Linked DNA regions of Struthio camelus. The protein of the gene in region 1 interacts with the protein of each later gene in a biochemical or structural test. Links are inferred from orthologs where the notes say so. Each region holds a gene or a part of one and is shown in the gene's direction. Other genes may lie near its edges.

The links.
Region 2: the proteins of ADRB2 (region 1) and GRK2 form a complex in vitro, tested with the Homo sapiens proteins (2 studies listed by BioGRID, with this or other methods). The link is inferred for Struthio camelus from reciprocal best matches to the Homo sapiens genes ADRB2 and GRK2.

Annotation. Positions count from the first base shown.
Region 1 is NC_090954.1:7,879,294-7,886,502, reverse strand, and holds the start of ADRB2 (beta-2 adrenergic receptor), read left to right. Parts: upstream 1-4,180; 5' UTR 4,181-4,207; coding exon 4,208-5,384; intron 5,385-7,209. UniProt on the Homo sapiens protein: Beta-adrenergic receptors mediate the catecholamine-induced activation of adenylate cyclase through the action of G proteins. The beta-2-adrenergic receptor binds epinephrine with an approximately 30-fold greater affinity than it does norepinephrine.
Region 2 is NC_090946.1:3,108,183-3,115,917, forward strand, and holds the start of GRK2 (beta-adrenergic receptor kinase 1), read left to right. Parts: upstream 1-4,730; 5' UTR 4,731-4,776; coding exon 4,777-4,889; intron 4,890-7,662; coding exon 7,663-7,735. UniProt on the Homo sapiens protein: Specifically phosphorylates the agonist-occupied form of the beta-adrenergic and closely related receptors, probably inducing a desensitization of them. Key regulator of LPAR1 signaling.

The DNA of each region.
Region 1 (7,209 bases):
ATTCTTCAAATGTCACCCAGCAAGGAGGGAGCACACATCCAATTATGAAAGGAGAAAAGATTAGCGTGATGACAAAGCAGCGGGGTCAGTGGCAGCAATGTGCTGCATGAGACAAATGAGATGTGCCTTGTTTTGACACCCTCCAAGCCAGAGGACCAGAAGGAGGCATTCTGGAGTAAGCAGAGTCCTTGCACTTCAGGCAACCAATATAGGAAATGCAAACTTAACTCTTTTCCTAACCTTTCTTTGGAGATTTGGTATTACGTTTGTTTAAATAAGAAACCTCAAACATACTTCAAAGCTAATAACCACTCCAAAGCACAGATATGGGCATGAAAATCTCAAAAGCAATACAGTTGAGTTGTGGGTGATGAAATTTATTTTTATGTGGGGCCAAATCCTGCCTTTATTTTGAACCTGTGTTCACTAGTCCCATTTGATGTGGACCATGCAAAGCCAAGCGCAGAAATCAGCTTGTGCCAATGGTCTACCCTGACACACCTCATGTAAGTGAGCAAAGATTAGTCAAGCAAGTAAAGAGCTGCAGAACCTAGGAAGAAAAATCAGCCTTTCTCTACTTCCTTCACCACACCCTTAACCACTACAGAGGCTCAAGACTCTTTGAATAAAGCACAACAAAGGCACAATATTTAGATAGCAGCTGGGCTTGCTGATTTCTGCACCCTGGGCCACAGAGATTTCCAGAGTCTGGAAGCAGGTTCTGGAGAAGGATATAGGAATGCTACCAGGGAGCATGGGTTTCTCCATGTACCAGATGCCCTTGTTGAACCGCTTGTGCCAAAGCAGAGAGATCAGCTTTGACTGTCCCAGAGTTGGTGTTTCCTACTGAATTCTCAAACCTGCTTCTCCTCCTTTCAAAACAGTGCTTCGTGCAAGGATGAATATTTGCTTGTCTGTTAGGAAGCCAAATCTTTTTAAAACTCTTTGGTTTACTGTTTGAATATTCCCAGATTTTAGCATAATCCACAGAAAACAGCACACTCACCAGGTTATTAGCAGAAACTTATCATGATCACCTTCTGGAGTTTTCTGATCAGCTCTTAAGAAAGAAGATGGAAAAGTGGGTTGAATATAATGTATAGTTAACACAAGTGCTTTTCCTTCCCCATTCTGCTCTGCTCTCCCAATATTGCATCTGATTTGTAGCTCCACTTCCCCAGCAGTTACTTGCAATATTTCTACTGCAAGGTGAATGCTTCTGGCCACTGGGCAGAGGGGGTGTGGGGGTACCTATGTGCACAGGAGCCAGAGATACTGCACCAAGCAAGTGCTAAAGGAGCTTATATTTATGTAGGGATCAGATCCTTAGCTGGCATAAAGTTAGTGAAGACCAATGGAGAGCAAATGACTTATGTCAGGGGGTTGCAGTTGTACCTATTGATTCAGATGTATATAAAGTATAGCCCTGTTTAGCTCAACAGTGGTCAGTTGAAACTCCTCATTTAGCTAAGGGCATTATTGTTTCTTAAGGTCATTAATGTTTCCTAGTCTTCCACTCACCCAAATCCCCCTGGTTTCCAAAGGCTTGGCATGTTTGCAGTAGAAAGAGGTATCCTGCAGATCTCTTTTTCATGTGTCTTTTTGTTAAAAACTCCAAAGCTTGCAGATGCCAAAGTGGAATATGGAAGCAGTACTGGAAGCTCATACTTAGAAAGATCCTTGCCTAGAGAGAAATCTCATACCACTGAAACTGCCTTTCATCTTATTTCCTGGTGCTGTCACCTCATTTTCCCCTCTGTTTTAAACTACAAAACTTCCTCTGTGTACAACCTGCTCTTCTCTATAAATAGCCCTAGGCTTAGCTCACGCAGTCCATGCATGACATGGGACACCTAGTGGTTTGCAGGGCCAGACCAGACAAGGTGTCTGGCTCTTCTGCCATGTGCTGGCACGGGCAAGAGAAACAGCAACTGCAGGCAGCTCCCCTCTGCAAGCCGTGCCTTGCACTTAGCACTTTTGCATTTCCTTGTAGTGAGAAAGAAAAATGAGGCAGAATTCTGAAGCCCTGTCAAATTCTGATGGTTGATGTGTTTCAAATGAGATCCAAAATTATTCACCCTTTAATAGCTAAAGAAGGTTAGGCAGGAGTCCTCCACCATCAAGCCTGTTATTAATAAAGGCAATGTTTGCATTTCTGGATCCTGAAGTGGCAGTGGGGGACAGTCCTATGTGCACAAGCCTGGGGTGACTCGTAAACATCTGCTTCTGGAAGGCACAAAGACAATGCGGGGTACCTAAGGAGGCACTGAGATGCAGTTACTTTTGGTACAGCTGGTGGCCAGAAGGCACGTGGGTAAATTTGGGCAAAAGCAACTCTTTGTATTCTCCCTTTCTCTGACATGGGATAATTTTAATTACTGTGCAAATCACAGCCTTCAGGCTCCACTATCATCTCCAGCAGACCCCTGGGCACTGCAGGAAGCATTACGTATGTCTGCAAGGGGGCAGCACGAGGCCAGATGGTTTCTGCACAGGCAGAAATGAAACTCAAGTGGTGGAGTTATCTCCCTTTAGGTTAAAAGGGACTTTGCAGGATTCCTTAGTCCTTATTTAGCAAATTTGTTTGCTTTGGAGGGAAATACTTGTGACTGATAGTCTCCAGCATGTCTGGCGGTAGTGTGGCAGACTGCAGTGTGCAGCAGTTGTGTGGCCTTCCAGCCCCCGACCAGCATGCTTGGCCCTGTCAGGGGATGCGCTCCGTGTGCTCAACCACCACCACAATTTTAGGGGCTGGGCTGCACCTCGAGCACCCAGTACACAGTCCCACCAGCCAGCTTCCAGGTGCCTGCCCCAGCCATGGGCTGTGGAGTGGCCAGCTCCCCGCAGGAATGGTGCTGGGCTGGGGGCTGGGAGGGATGGAGACCGTGGGTGACACCCTGTCTCAAAGTGTTGCCTGTGAGGACAGGCGCTCCCCAGGGTCACCCAGCTCTCAGGAAAGTCCAAATCCCAGCACCCAACCAGACACAAAGTCTCTCTGAGAGCAGCAGCAGATATACTGTGGTGGGGAGTGAGTGGGGGATGGGGGCACATGGAACGTGGTGGGTTGAGGACACATGTGGGAAGGGGTTCAGGGACACCATAGGGCAAGGAGCACGTGTGGATCACAGGGACACTGCAGAGCAGGATTGTGCATGGGGTGCAGGGACAGCGCAGGGCAGGGAGCATGTGTGGGGCACGTGGACACCATGATGTGGGGCAGAGATGTGCGTGGGGTGTGGGAGTGTGGGGACACCGCAGGTCAGGGGCACGTGTGGAGCGTGAGAACAACGTAGGGCGGGGAGCATGCATGGGGCATATGGACACTGGAGGCCAGGGAGCATGCATGGAGTGGGGGGACATGTGTGGGGCAGGTGACACCATGGGATGGGGTGATGCGTGGGGCAGAGGGGCATGCTTAGGGTGGTAGTGTACATGGGGAGGGGGGTGTGAAAACCCTGTAAAGCGGGGAGTGCATGAGTTGTGCGGGCACCATGGAATGGGGGCGCATGCGTGGCGGGGGGACACCACAGGCTGGGGAGCCCTCGGTCATGGGGACACCATGAGGCAGGAATGTGCGTGGGGCACGGGGACACTTTGGGGCAGGGAGCGCTTGGTTGTGGGGACACCGCGGGTAGGGGATGTGCATGGGGCGTGGGGCCACTGCAGGGCGGGGAGTGTGCGTGGGAGTGCAGGGACACCTTGGGGCATGGCACTCAGTCGCGGGGCCACCACGGGGTGCAGATGCGCGTGGGGCGCCGAGCCACGGCGGGGCGGGGACGCGCGTGGGGCACGGGGGCACTGCGGGGCGGGGAGCGTGCGTGGGGCGCGGGGACACCGCCGAGGGGGGACGCGCGTGGGGCGCGGGGACACCGCCGGGGGGGGGGGGAAGAGGCGCGGCGGCCGCCGCCATTGGCTGTCGCTGTCCTGATGTCACGGCGGGGTGTTGCTATAAGCTCCGCGGCGCCTAACGGGCTGGGGGCAGTCGGGGCCGGGCGCGGCGCCGCCGCGGGACGGGACGGGACGGGCGAGAGCGGAGCGGAGCGGAGCGGAGCGGAGCGCGCCCAGCCGCGCAGCCCGGTGCCCCTGCCCGCGTCCAGCCCGCCCGCACCTGCCGCGCCGTATGCGCGGCGCCCGGCGCAGCGCCGCCGCGACGCAGCCCTAGGCGCGGGCGCCTCGCCGAGCCCCGCGGGCGGCGGCGCGGGGGGCCATGGGGGCGGTGGGCGCCGCGCTGCCCGGCGGCAACGCCAGCGCCAACCAGAGCGCCGCCGCCGACCCCACGCTGTCGCGGGACGTGTGGATGGTGGGCATGGGGATCCTCATGTCCGTGATCGTGCTGGCCATCGTCTTCGGCAACGTGCTGGTGATCACCGCCATCGCCCGGTTCCAGCGCCTGCAGACCGTCACTAACTACTTCATCACCTCGCTGGCCTGCGCCGACCTGGTGATGGGTCTGGCCGTGGTGCCCTTCGGGGCCAGCCACATCATCATGGAGATGTGGAATTTCGGGAACTTCTGGTGTGAGTTCTGGACTTCTCTGGATGTGCTCTGTGTCACAGCCAGCATCGAGACCCTCTGTGTCATCGCCGTGGACCGGTACTTCGCCATCACCTCTCCCTTCAAGTACCAGAGCCTGCTGACCAAGAGCAAGGCACGCGTGGTCATCCTGGTGGTGTGGGTAGTCTCTGCCCTCACCTCCTTCTTGCCCATCCAGATGCATTGGTACCGGGCAGAGCGTGAGGAAGCCATTCTGTGCTACAAGGAGGACACATGCTGCGACTTCTTCACCAACCAGGCTTACGCCATTGCCTCCTCCATCATCTCTTTCTACCTGCCACTCGTGGTCATGGTCTTCGTGTATGCCAGGGTCTTCCTGGTGGCCAAGAAGCAGCTGCAGAAGATAGACAAGAGCGAGGGGAGGTTTCACATCCAGAACAAGGAGCAGGAGCAGAACGGGCGAACTGGGCACCGCCGTTCCTCCAAGTTCTACTTGAAGGAGCACAAGGCCCTCAAGACCCTGGGCATCATCATGGGCACCTTCACACTGTGTTGGCTGCCCTTCTTTATCGTCAACATTGTGCACGTCATCCAGGACGACATCATACCCAAGTACGTGTACATTCTCTTGAACTGGCTGGGCTATGTCAATTCTGCCTTCAACCCTTTGATCTACTGCCGGAGCCCGGACTTCAGGTATGCCTTCCAGGAGCTCCTGTGCCTCCGCAGGTCTGCCCTGAAGATGTATGCCAATGGGTACTCCAACAGCAACGGCAGGAGTGACTACAATGAGGAGGAGAACAGCTATCCCCTGGCATCGGATAAAACCTGTGAGTTGCTCTGTGAAGAAGGCTCCTTCCCTAACCCAGAGGACTTTTTGCACTGCAAAGGTACTGTGCCTAGTGGGTAGCTTTGAGACGTGATGGGCTCTGGTGTGGCACACCTTGGTTACAAAAATGAGCCTTTCTCTCTCTCTCTCCCTCTCTGTCTCTAAGGAAAAACAACCCCCCCCCCAAGAAAAATAATGATCCACTTTTAAAATGTATCTAAAATCTGGTGGCTGCAAGAAATCTAAAACTCAGCAAACCTTGTGCGAACAGGTGGAAGGTTGCTCTGGGAATGGTCGGGCGGGCTAGTTGTTTGCAGAGTGTCAGAAGTACTGTAGCACATACTTGTGTAGAGGCGCAATCTTCATTCGTTGAGTGGGGAGGTTTTAAGGCTGTGCAGAAAGCTCAACCCAGGAGGAACTTCTTGACTGTGGTGGCTGTTGAACTACCTCATGGACTTAGTGTTAATAACCAGGCTGCTGGTGCAGGAAACCCTCTGCAGGGCGGACAGGAGCCCCTGCCTGTGGGGAGGCTCCTGCCGGCTGCGGGTGCCCTCTGCCCACCCCAGTGATTGCACTTCATGGCAAACCCCAGGTGATGTTGCCTACCTTAAAGTCTTCCCAGTTCCTTTGTCACAACCAAGCCTCCCAGCAGACTGGTGGCCCGTAGGACCCCTCCTCGGCCAGTTATGCAGCCTTGGGCAGTAGCCTCTGTTGTCCAGCCCAGGAAACTGTGCAGAGATGCCACCCTATGAACAAGCTCCTAAAAGGGATGCTAGGACCAGGGCTGCATGGTCTGAGCACGGCTCGGAAAGGCCATGTCAGATCTGCAGCTATTGCTCTCACTGGGACAGTTTAAACAACGCCCAGAAACAACGAATGCTTTTTGCCAAGTGCTGTAGGACGTTCATCTGAAATAAGAATAGAAATAAATGGACTATTTGCCCAGAATGTGAGACTGTGACGGTGGGACTCAGGAACATGGTACTGGAAAGTTGGGTGAAATGCTGCTAAAATCACGGACCATCCTTTTGTTCAAACTCTGGCCAAAGCTTCCTCCAACCTTTAAACTGTTGAATTCCTTTAACTTCAGGTCCCAAGTGACAGGGAACCCGAGGAGGCGGGAGGGGAGGGGATTTTTTATTTTGTTTCAAAGAGGACTGACACTCGGAGGGGCACAGCTCTAGCCCCGGTTTGTTTGTTTGTGAAGGGCTTTTTTTTCCCCCTCCTTGCGGCAGGCTTTGCATTTTGTTCCCGGGTTACAAAACTTGGCTGCGAGTTCCCCGGGCTGTCAGAGGGGAAGCTAATCCGCAGACACGGGCAGGCAGGTGCGGGCTGGACGAGCGGGGACGGCAAAGGGCGCCTGCACTGCTGCCCAGTTATTCTCAGAAAGTCCCTGGTTGGAGGAAACCGGCAGTCGGGCTGGGAAAATAAAAGTGTCCCCGTTGCCTTCCCCCTCAGCTGCTGTTTGAAAGGGTGAACGCAAGGGCTGGGAGGATGTAGAAGCGCTGTGTCTTTTCAGAAACGGGGAGATGCAGGGGAGAAATGGGCTCGCAGGAGCTGTCACCTGGCCGTGGGGCTGTGGTGCCCCGTGGAAGGATGCTTGGCATCACCTTCATGGGCTCTCGCCTCCTCCCCAGAGAATTCAAGCACCTGCCCTGCGCTGCCGTCGCTTTTCTGACACTGGCGACGCGCTGTGATGGGTCCCTGGTGCGTGGCGGTCAGTGGGTCCCTGGCAGAGCAGGAGTGCGGAGGGGGGAATGTGAAGGCACTGGGGCGACTGGCTGGCGTTGCAGGCGTCCCTGTGCCAAGACCCCGGCCGAGCCAAGCCCCCTCTGAGCCATGTCCTCGGACGCTGGTCCCCACTGCTGCAGGTAGCAGAGGGGGCT
Region 2 (7,735 bases), on another chromosome or scaffold:
CAGCCCCTCTGCTCGTGGCCGGGCAGCAGAAGCCGCCTGCCTTAGTCTCTCTTGGTGGTGGCTCCTGTGAAAAACAGCCGAAAAATCAAAGTTTTGGTGTTTTTTTTGTTTTTATTTTTTGTTTTTGTTTTTTCTTTTCTTTTTTTTCTCCTTTGGATTGATTTTGAGTTTCACGACAAGAAAGAAGAAAGGTTGGGGCAAAACTTAGCGGGAGCTGGGAGGGCAGCTGGCTTGGGGGCCTGGGCCAGCCCTGGGGCTTCCCAGGCTGGGCGGGCGTTGGGCTTCCTCCGCCAGGAAAGCGAGCGTCTCTATTTACACGCGCATTCGGGGCCGAGCGAAAGCAGCCCCCCACTCTGGGGCAGCACGGGGAGGCAGACGAGGCGAGCTGAGCCGGGGAGGGGCAGGGTGCCCGGGGCAGCCATCCCCCCCCACCCCCCCCTTTGGGGCTTCAGAGACTCGAAATCAAGGTGCGACCCTTGTCACCTAACTGGCCACCCCAGCCCCCTTGGTGGGCGAGGGGTGAAAATTCACAAGGAAAGAAGAAGATAAAAAAGAATTATATATATATAAAAATCACTTAGTGATTTAAAAACAACCCAGACTGCTCCCTAAAGACAACTCCTGCAACAGAAGTCACTATTGTTTAAGGGTTTGGTTGTGTTTTTGTTTCGTTTCGATTCCCCCCCTCCCTCCCCCCCGGAGAAATATTGTAAATATATATTTTTTGTTGGCGATTTAGAGTCCATCTCTGATGTTTGTGCTTTAAAATTAAATGTAAGCATTAAGGGTAAAAGCAAACCAAGTCTTACGCTCTCTCAGTCGGTATGGTTTGGGTTGGGGGGTTTCTTGTCTGAGGGCAGAGGGAGGGGAGCTAGTTGGCTTTTTTTTGTTTTATTTTTCTTTTTTCTTTTTTAAGCATTCTCCGATACTGGTTTTAGAGAGGATCTTTGCTCATAACAGATTACCACAGGGATGGAAGAGATGTTGGGGGGGGAGGGGAGGGAAGATACCAGCCTCTGAAGGGAAATATTTTGTTTCTTGGGGGTGGATTTTTGGAATAAAAATTTAAAGAAAAAAAAATAACCCTGCGTCTCGGTTCTGCCCGTTGTTTGTCTGCGAGTCAGAGGGGAGCGGAGAGGCCGAGGCCTGGGCTGGGCTGGGCTGAGAGGCCGCAGCTTCTGCGGCCGCCCGGCCCTGGGGCTTCCTCTGCCGCGCCGAGCTGGGTGGAGAGGAAGCGCGGGGCTTAGTCACACGCCCGGGCTCCCGTGCGGGAACCCGACGGCGGCGGCGGGGAACGGTCCCCTGCGGCCGCTCGCCCCCCGCCCTGGCGGCGGGTCGAGCCGCGTCCTGGTGCTGCATGCGGCCGCGAGCACCCGCTCGCGTTTGCTTGGCAGCTGGGGCTGGCCCTGCCAGCGCCTTGCACCACAGCTGGCACAGCTCTGTAACCGGCCCTGCTTGGAGCAGGGGTTTATCCCGAAACGCACGGTCAAACTGGCAAAGCAAAGGCACTTCCTGCCTTCCCGGCTGCCGACGGTGCCCCCATTCGACTGCTGGGGACGTCCCGGACCAGCTTGCGGGCTGGAAGAGCTCGCGCTGCGACTGCACCGTAGCGGGATGCCCCCTTGCCTTTGCCTCGGGTTTCTCTTGCTGCTGCTGTCTCCCGTCACCCTTCAAACCCTTTCGAGCCTGCTTTGGGGGCAGCTGGGTCGTTCCCCTCCTTTTTGATATACAAAGGCATTTTGCTTCCACGCGTCGTTTCAAACCGAGGCACGTAAAACGCTGCTGGAGGCAGCCCGGCTGCTCCTCCCGCACAACCGGGGGGTCTCCTCTCGGGCTCAAACCACCAGCCCCAACTTGCCCATTTGGCTATGATACGTATTGTAGCCGATCCTCAGCGCGCCAGCGCCGCCCCGACCTCCTCCGGGGACCCTCCTCCTGCCCGGGGGTCTCGTCCTTCTCCAGAAAAGCATCCTGTTGGAGGGAGCCGGCGTGCCTCCGCGCCCAATTCCCGAGGCTAGCAACCTTCGGGGAGCGCCGAATCCACGGCGCTTGAATCCCGCCTCTCTCGGTCCTCGCCTTCGCGGAGCTGAGGGTCCGGTGGGCGACTCTGCCCCATCTCCAGCAGTTTCCACCGCCGCAGCCCTCCCGGGAGCAGCCCACCCGCCGGGGCGGCCGCGCTGCCGCTGCCAGGTTTGCCTCAGGCCGGCTAAAAGGAAGCGAAACCTCCTCCAGCGTCATTGCTCCCGCCTGCGTGGCTGCGCCCAGGCTTTCGCCTTTGCCGCCCCTCGCGCTGCCCGGGCCTGCGAGGTGGCCTGGCACCTCTGGCCCTCCCCACGCGCCAAACTCCCTAGAAATGAGCTTGTCACAAGGGGTTTTGGGGTTTTGTTTTGTTTTTTTAATTCCCACCCCTCAGCTGGGCTCGGTTTAAAAGCTGGGAGGAAGCCGGGAGCGGAGCTGGAGCAGGGCGGCCCCGCCGGCGGCACAGGTCGTGCAGGGCGGCTGTCTCGGTGTCACACGTGCTGTCACATACACACACGCACGCACACTCACCCCTGTGTGTCTCTCACCACTCTCCCGGTCTCTCTCACGCACCCCCACACACCTGCACACACCCCTGCTGTCACTCTCACACACACACACCACACACATGGCATCTCACTCACACTTGGTGTCTCTCGCACACACACACGCACACACTCAAGTGTCACGCACACACTCACATGGTGTCACACACAGAGACACACACAGTGTGTGAGTTGTGTCACACAAACTCACTCTCTCACACACAAACCCCCACACCCCTGGTGTCTCACAAACACACACAAACACACACGGCGTCTCTCACACACACTCACACGGTGTCTCAAACACACACACCCTTGGAGTAACACACACACACATTCACACACATACACACGGTGTCTCACACACACACACTATCTCACACACCTGGTCTCTCACACACACATTGACACACTCACACACCCCTGCTGTCATGCACACACACTCTCTTACACACACACACACACACTCATGCACGCTCTCTTACACACACACACTCACATACACACACACACTCTCTCTCACACTCTCAGTCTCACACTCACATACACACACTCTCTCACACACTCTCTCACAGTCTCACACTCACACATACTCTCTCACACACTCACACATACTCTCACACACACACTCACACATACTCTCACACACACATTCTCTTGCACTCTCACACACACACACTCACACATACTCTCACACACACGCACTCTCACACTCACACTCTCACACACACTCTTTCACACTCACACACCCTCACACTCTCACACTCACATGCACACTCACACTCTCACACACACACTCACACACACTCAGTCTCACTCACACACATACTCTCACACACATACTCTCACACACACTCACACAAACTCTCACACACACACACAGTCTCACACACACACACTCACACACTCACACTCTCACACACACACTCTCACACACACACACTCACTCTCTCTCACACACTCTCACAGTCTCACACTCACACATACTATCTCACACACTCACACACACTGTCTCACACACACTCTCGCACTCACACTCTCACACTCACACTCTCTCACACACTCACACTCACACATACTCTCTCACACACAGTCTCACACACACACTCTCACACACACACACCCACACACACTCACATACACACTCTCTCTCACACACTCTCACAGTCTCACACTCACACACATACTCTCACACAGTCTCACACACTCACAAACTCTCACACACACACTCACACATACTCTCTCACACTCACAGTCTCACACACACATTCTCTTGCACTCTAACACACACACACACATACTCTCACACACTCTCACACACACTCTCACTCACACACACTCTCACACACACTTTCACACTCACACACCCTCACACACACTCTTTCACACTCACACGCACACTCACACTCTCTCACACTCACACTCTCTCACACACACTCACACTCACACACTCTCACACTCACACTCTCTCACACACACTCACTCTCACACTCTCTCACACTCACACTCTCTCACACTCACACTCTCACACACACTCACACTCTCACACACACAGTCTCACACACACATTCTCTCACACTCTCACACACACACACTCACACGCACACTCACACACTCACACTCTCTCACTCTCACACACACTCACACACTCTCACACTCAAACTCTCTCACACACACTCAGTCTCACACACACATTCTCTCGCACTCTCACACACGCACACTCACACGCACACTCACACGCACACTCACACGCACACGCGCCCCCGCTGTCCGTCCCCCCCCGCCCCCCCGCTCCCTCCCGCGGTCCCGGGCGGCGGCGGCGGCGGAAGGCGGCGGAAGGCGGAAGGCGGAAGGCGGCGGCGGCGGGGCAGGGCCGCCCCGGGCCCCGCCTGCCGCCCGCGCCGCCGCACCGGCACCCGGCCCGCCGGCGCGCTCACGCACCGCGCTCGCGCTCACTCACACTCGCTCGCGCTCACTCACACTCACACTCGCGCTCGCAGCCGCCCGCCCCGCCATGGCCCCGCGCCGCTGAGGGCCGCCCAGGGCCGCCGCCGCCGCCGCCGGGGGCCTCGCCGCTGAGGGCCGCGCCGCCCCGCCGCCCCGGGCCGCCCCCCGCCCGCCGCCAGGGCCGGGCCGAGCCGGGCCGGGCCAGGCCGCCCGCGGGGCCGGGCCGGGTCGGCGGCGGCGGCGGCGGGGCGGGGGCCGCGGCAAGATGGCGGACCTGGAGGCGGTGCTGGCCGACGTGAGCTACCTGATGGCCATGGAGAAGAGCAAGGCCACGCCGGCCGCCCGCGCCAGCAAGAAGATCCTGCTGCCCGAGCCCAGGTGAGGCCACCGGGCCCGGCGCGGCCGGGGCGCCCCACGCGCGTCCGAGCAGGGCGGGCAGGTGCCAGCGGGGCCCGGGCGCCGGCCTGCCCTGGCGCGGGCAAGCGGGGCTGGTGGGCAGGCGCGCCCCGGCCTGTGCAAGTGCAGCTGCGTGTGCAAGAGTGCCCTGGCGTGTGCAGGCAGGGCTGGTGGGCAAGAGTGCCCTGGTGCGTGCAAGAGTGCCCTGGCGTGTGCAGGCAGTTCTGGTGGGCAAGAGTGCCCTGGTGCGTGCAAGAGTGCCCTGGCGTGTGCAGGCAGGGCTGGCCTGCAAGAGTGCCCTGGTGTGTGCAGGCAGGGCTGGTGGGCAAGCGTGCCCTGGTGCGCACAAGAGTGCCCTGGCATGTGCAAGCAGGGCTGGCCTGCAAGAGTGCCCTGGTGCACGCAAGAGTGCCCTGGCGTGTGCAATCAGGACTGGTGGGCAAGCAGGGCTGGTGGGCAAGTGTGCCCCGGCCTGTGCAAGCGCAGCTGGCGTGTGCAAGTGTCCTGGCGTGCCCAGGCAGGGCTGGCTTGCAAGCGTGCCCTGGTGTGTGCAAGAGTGCCCTGGTGCGTGTAAGCTGGCCTGGCCTGTAAGCGTGCTCTGGTGCATGCACGCGTGCCCTAGTGCATGCACGCGTGCCCTGGTGTATGCAAGCAGAGCTGGCCTGCAACTGTGGCCCTGGTGTGTGTAAGGTGACCTGGCCTGCAAGCGTGCCCTGGTGCATGCAAGCAGGGCTGGCCTGCACAAGTGCGGCCCAGCGCAGAAGGCGTGTGGCATGGGCAAGCGGGGCTGGCCCAAGCAGACAGTGCACAGTGTGCACAAGCAGGGCCTGGCACGTGCAAGTGTGGCACAGGGTGTGCAGGCAGCATGCCACCCCTGCAAGCGCAGCCTGTGCAGGCAGGGCCTGGCGCATGCAAGCAGGCTGCAGCGTGTGCAAGTGTGGCGCAGCGCGTGCAAGCATGGCCTGGCACATGCAAGCAGAGCCCAGCGCGCGGGGACAGTATGCACCAGGGCAGCAAGGCACACACGAGTGTGGCAGAGCACACGCTGGCATTGTGCAAGCAGGGCTCCTCATGCGAGGGTGTCACAGCATGTGCAAGGGTGTCCTGGTGTGTGCGAGCTCAGTGCGGCATGTGCAAGCCTGAGCTTGGCGCGGTACGTGCGAGCGGGGCCCAGCGCCGGTGGGGCGAGGGAGACGGGGCGCGGGGCGCCGGTCTGCGCTGCCGCAGCCTGTCTGGCCCCCAGACTTTCCTGCTCCTGCAGTTCCCCTTTCTGTCCTCGCCGTGCACGGGCACGGCTGCACCGTCCGCGCGCCCGCACAGGCGCGCATGCTGGCACACCTCTCTGGTACACATCTTCTGGGTACACACCTCTCCTGTGCACACACAGACGCACCTCTCCGGTATGCATCCTTCCGGGTACACACCTCTCCTGCGCACACACAGACACACCTCTCTGGTACGCATCCTCCCAGGCACGCACATGTGTACACACACAGGTGCAGCTGGGGGCACGCACATGCGTGTGCTCACACCTGTGCTCCCACACAAGCACCACCTGAGCACACCTGCACGCGTGTAAGCACACCCACGCTCACACCTTCTGCACACGTGCACACACCCTGCCTCCTTCCGGGCACATCCACATAAGCACACTCACCTCTTGCACACAAAAACACATGTGCATGTGCATGTGCAATGTCACTCAGCCGTGCATGCGTGTGCATGCCCCTCTTGCTCATACACCCAAACACACTGTCCCAACACACGTGTCCCTGGCCAGACATGCAAACTGCAGCGCCTGGACGCACGCATACAGTCCTGGAGCCTTGCATCTCCTGAACAAGCATGTACTTGTGCACATGCACACACACGTGCACACCTGTGCAGAGTGCACCAGGGCTGGGCTGCACACACATGCATGCACATACACACTTGCACACACACACACACAGAGTGCACAGCCGGTGCACGTGCAGACTCACACGTTGGTTCTGCTGAAACACTTCCCCAGCCCCCTGTCCTTCACACGCACGCAGAGTTGTGATGCTCTCTGCTGTGCACACCGCCCCCGCACGCGTGTCGATCTCACACACACACACACCCCACTTCTGCCCACACAACCCGCTTTGCAACTTCCCTTCTCACGCCCGGCCTGCCCAGGCACCGGCGCCCAGCCGGGCAGGCGCACACAGCCATGCACAGCCTGGCGCGCGCCACATGCACGGCCCGGCCGGCAGCAAAGCCCAGCGTGCGGGGCGTCGGGCGCACGCATCCCGCGCAGCACAGTGCACAGCCTGCTGTGCGTGGCAGCCCAATGTCCCAGCCCGCCACGCTCCCGCTGCTGGGCCCCGCTTTCCCTCCGGCGTTCGCAGACCCGGGTGTCCTGGGCCGACCGTGGCGCCCGTGCCTGGCGTTCAGCTCCCACCCTGCAGCCCTGCCTGCCTCAGTTTCCCTGGGGAGGTGGAGGGGGCCTCTGCTGGGCCCTCGGATGCCTGGGCCCCTCTTCCCTGGCCCTCCCTGCGTGGGGCACCCTGTGGCTACCCCTTACCAAGGCCCAGCAGGGTGTCATGGCGGGGACAGAACAGGGGTCAGGTGCACCGGGGTCCCTGGGGACAAGCGTGCAGGTGGGGTGGCCGGCGAGGGGATGTATCCTGCCCCTGGAGCCGTGGGAGATGCCCTGGGGGGACGGGGGCACGGGAGACGCAGCAGGGGCCTGGGGTGGGGGCAGGACTGAGCCCATCTGGCGTCTCCCCAGCATCCGCAGCGTCATGCAGAAGTACCTGGAGGACCGGGGGGAGGTGACCTTCGACAAGATCTTTGCGCAGAAG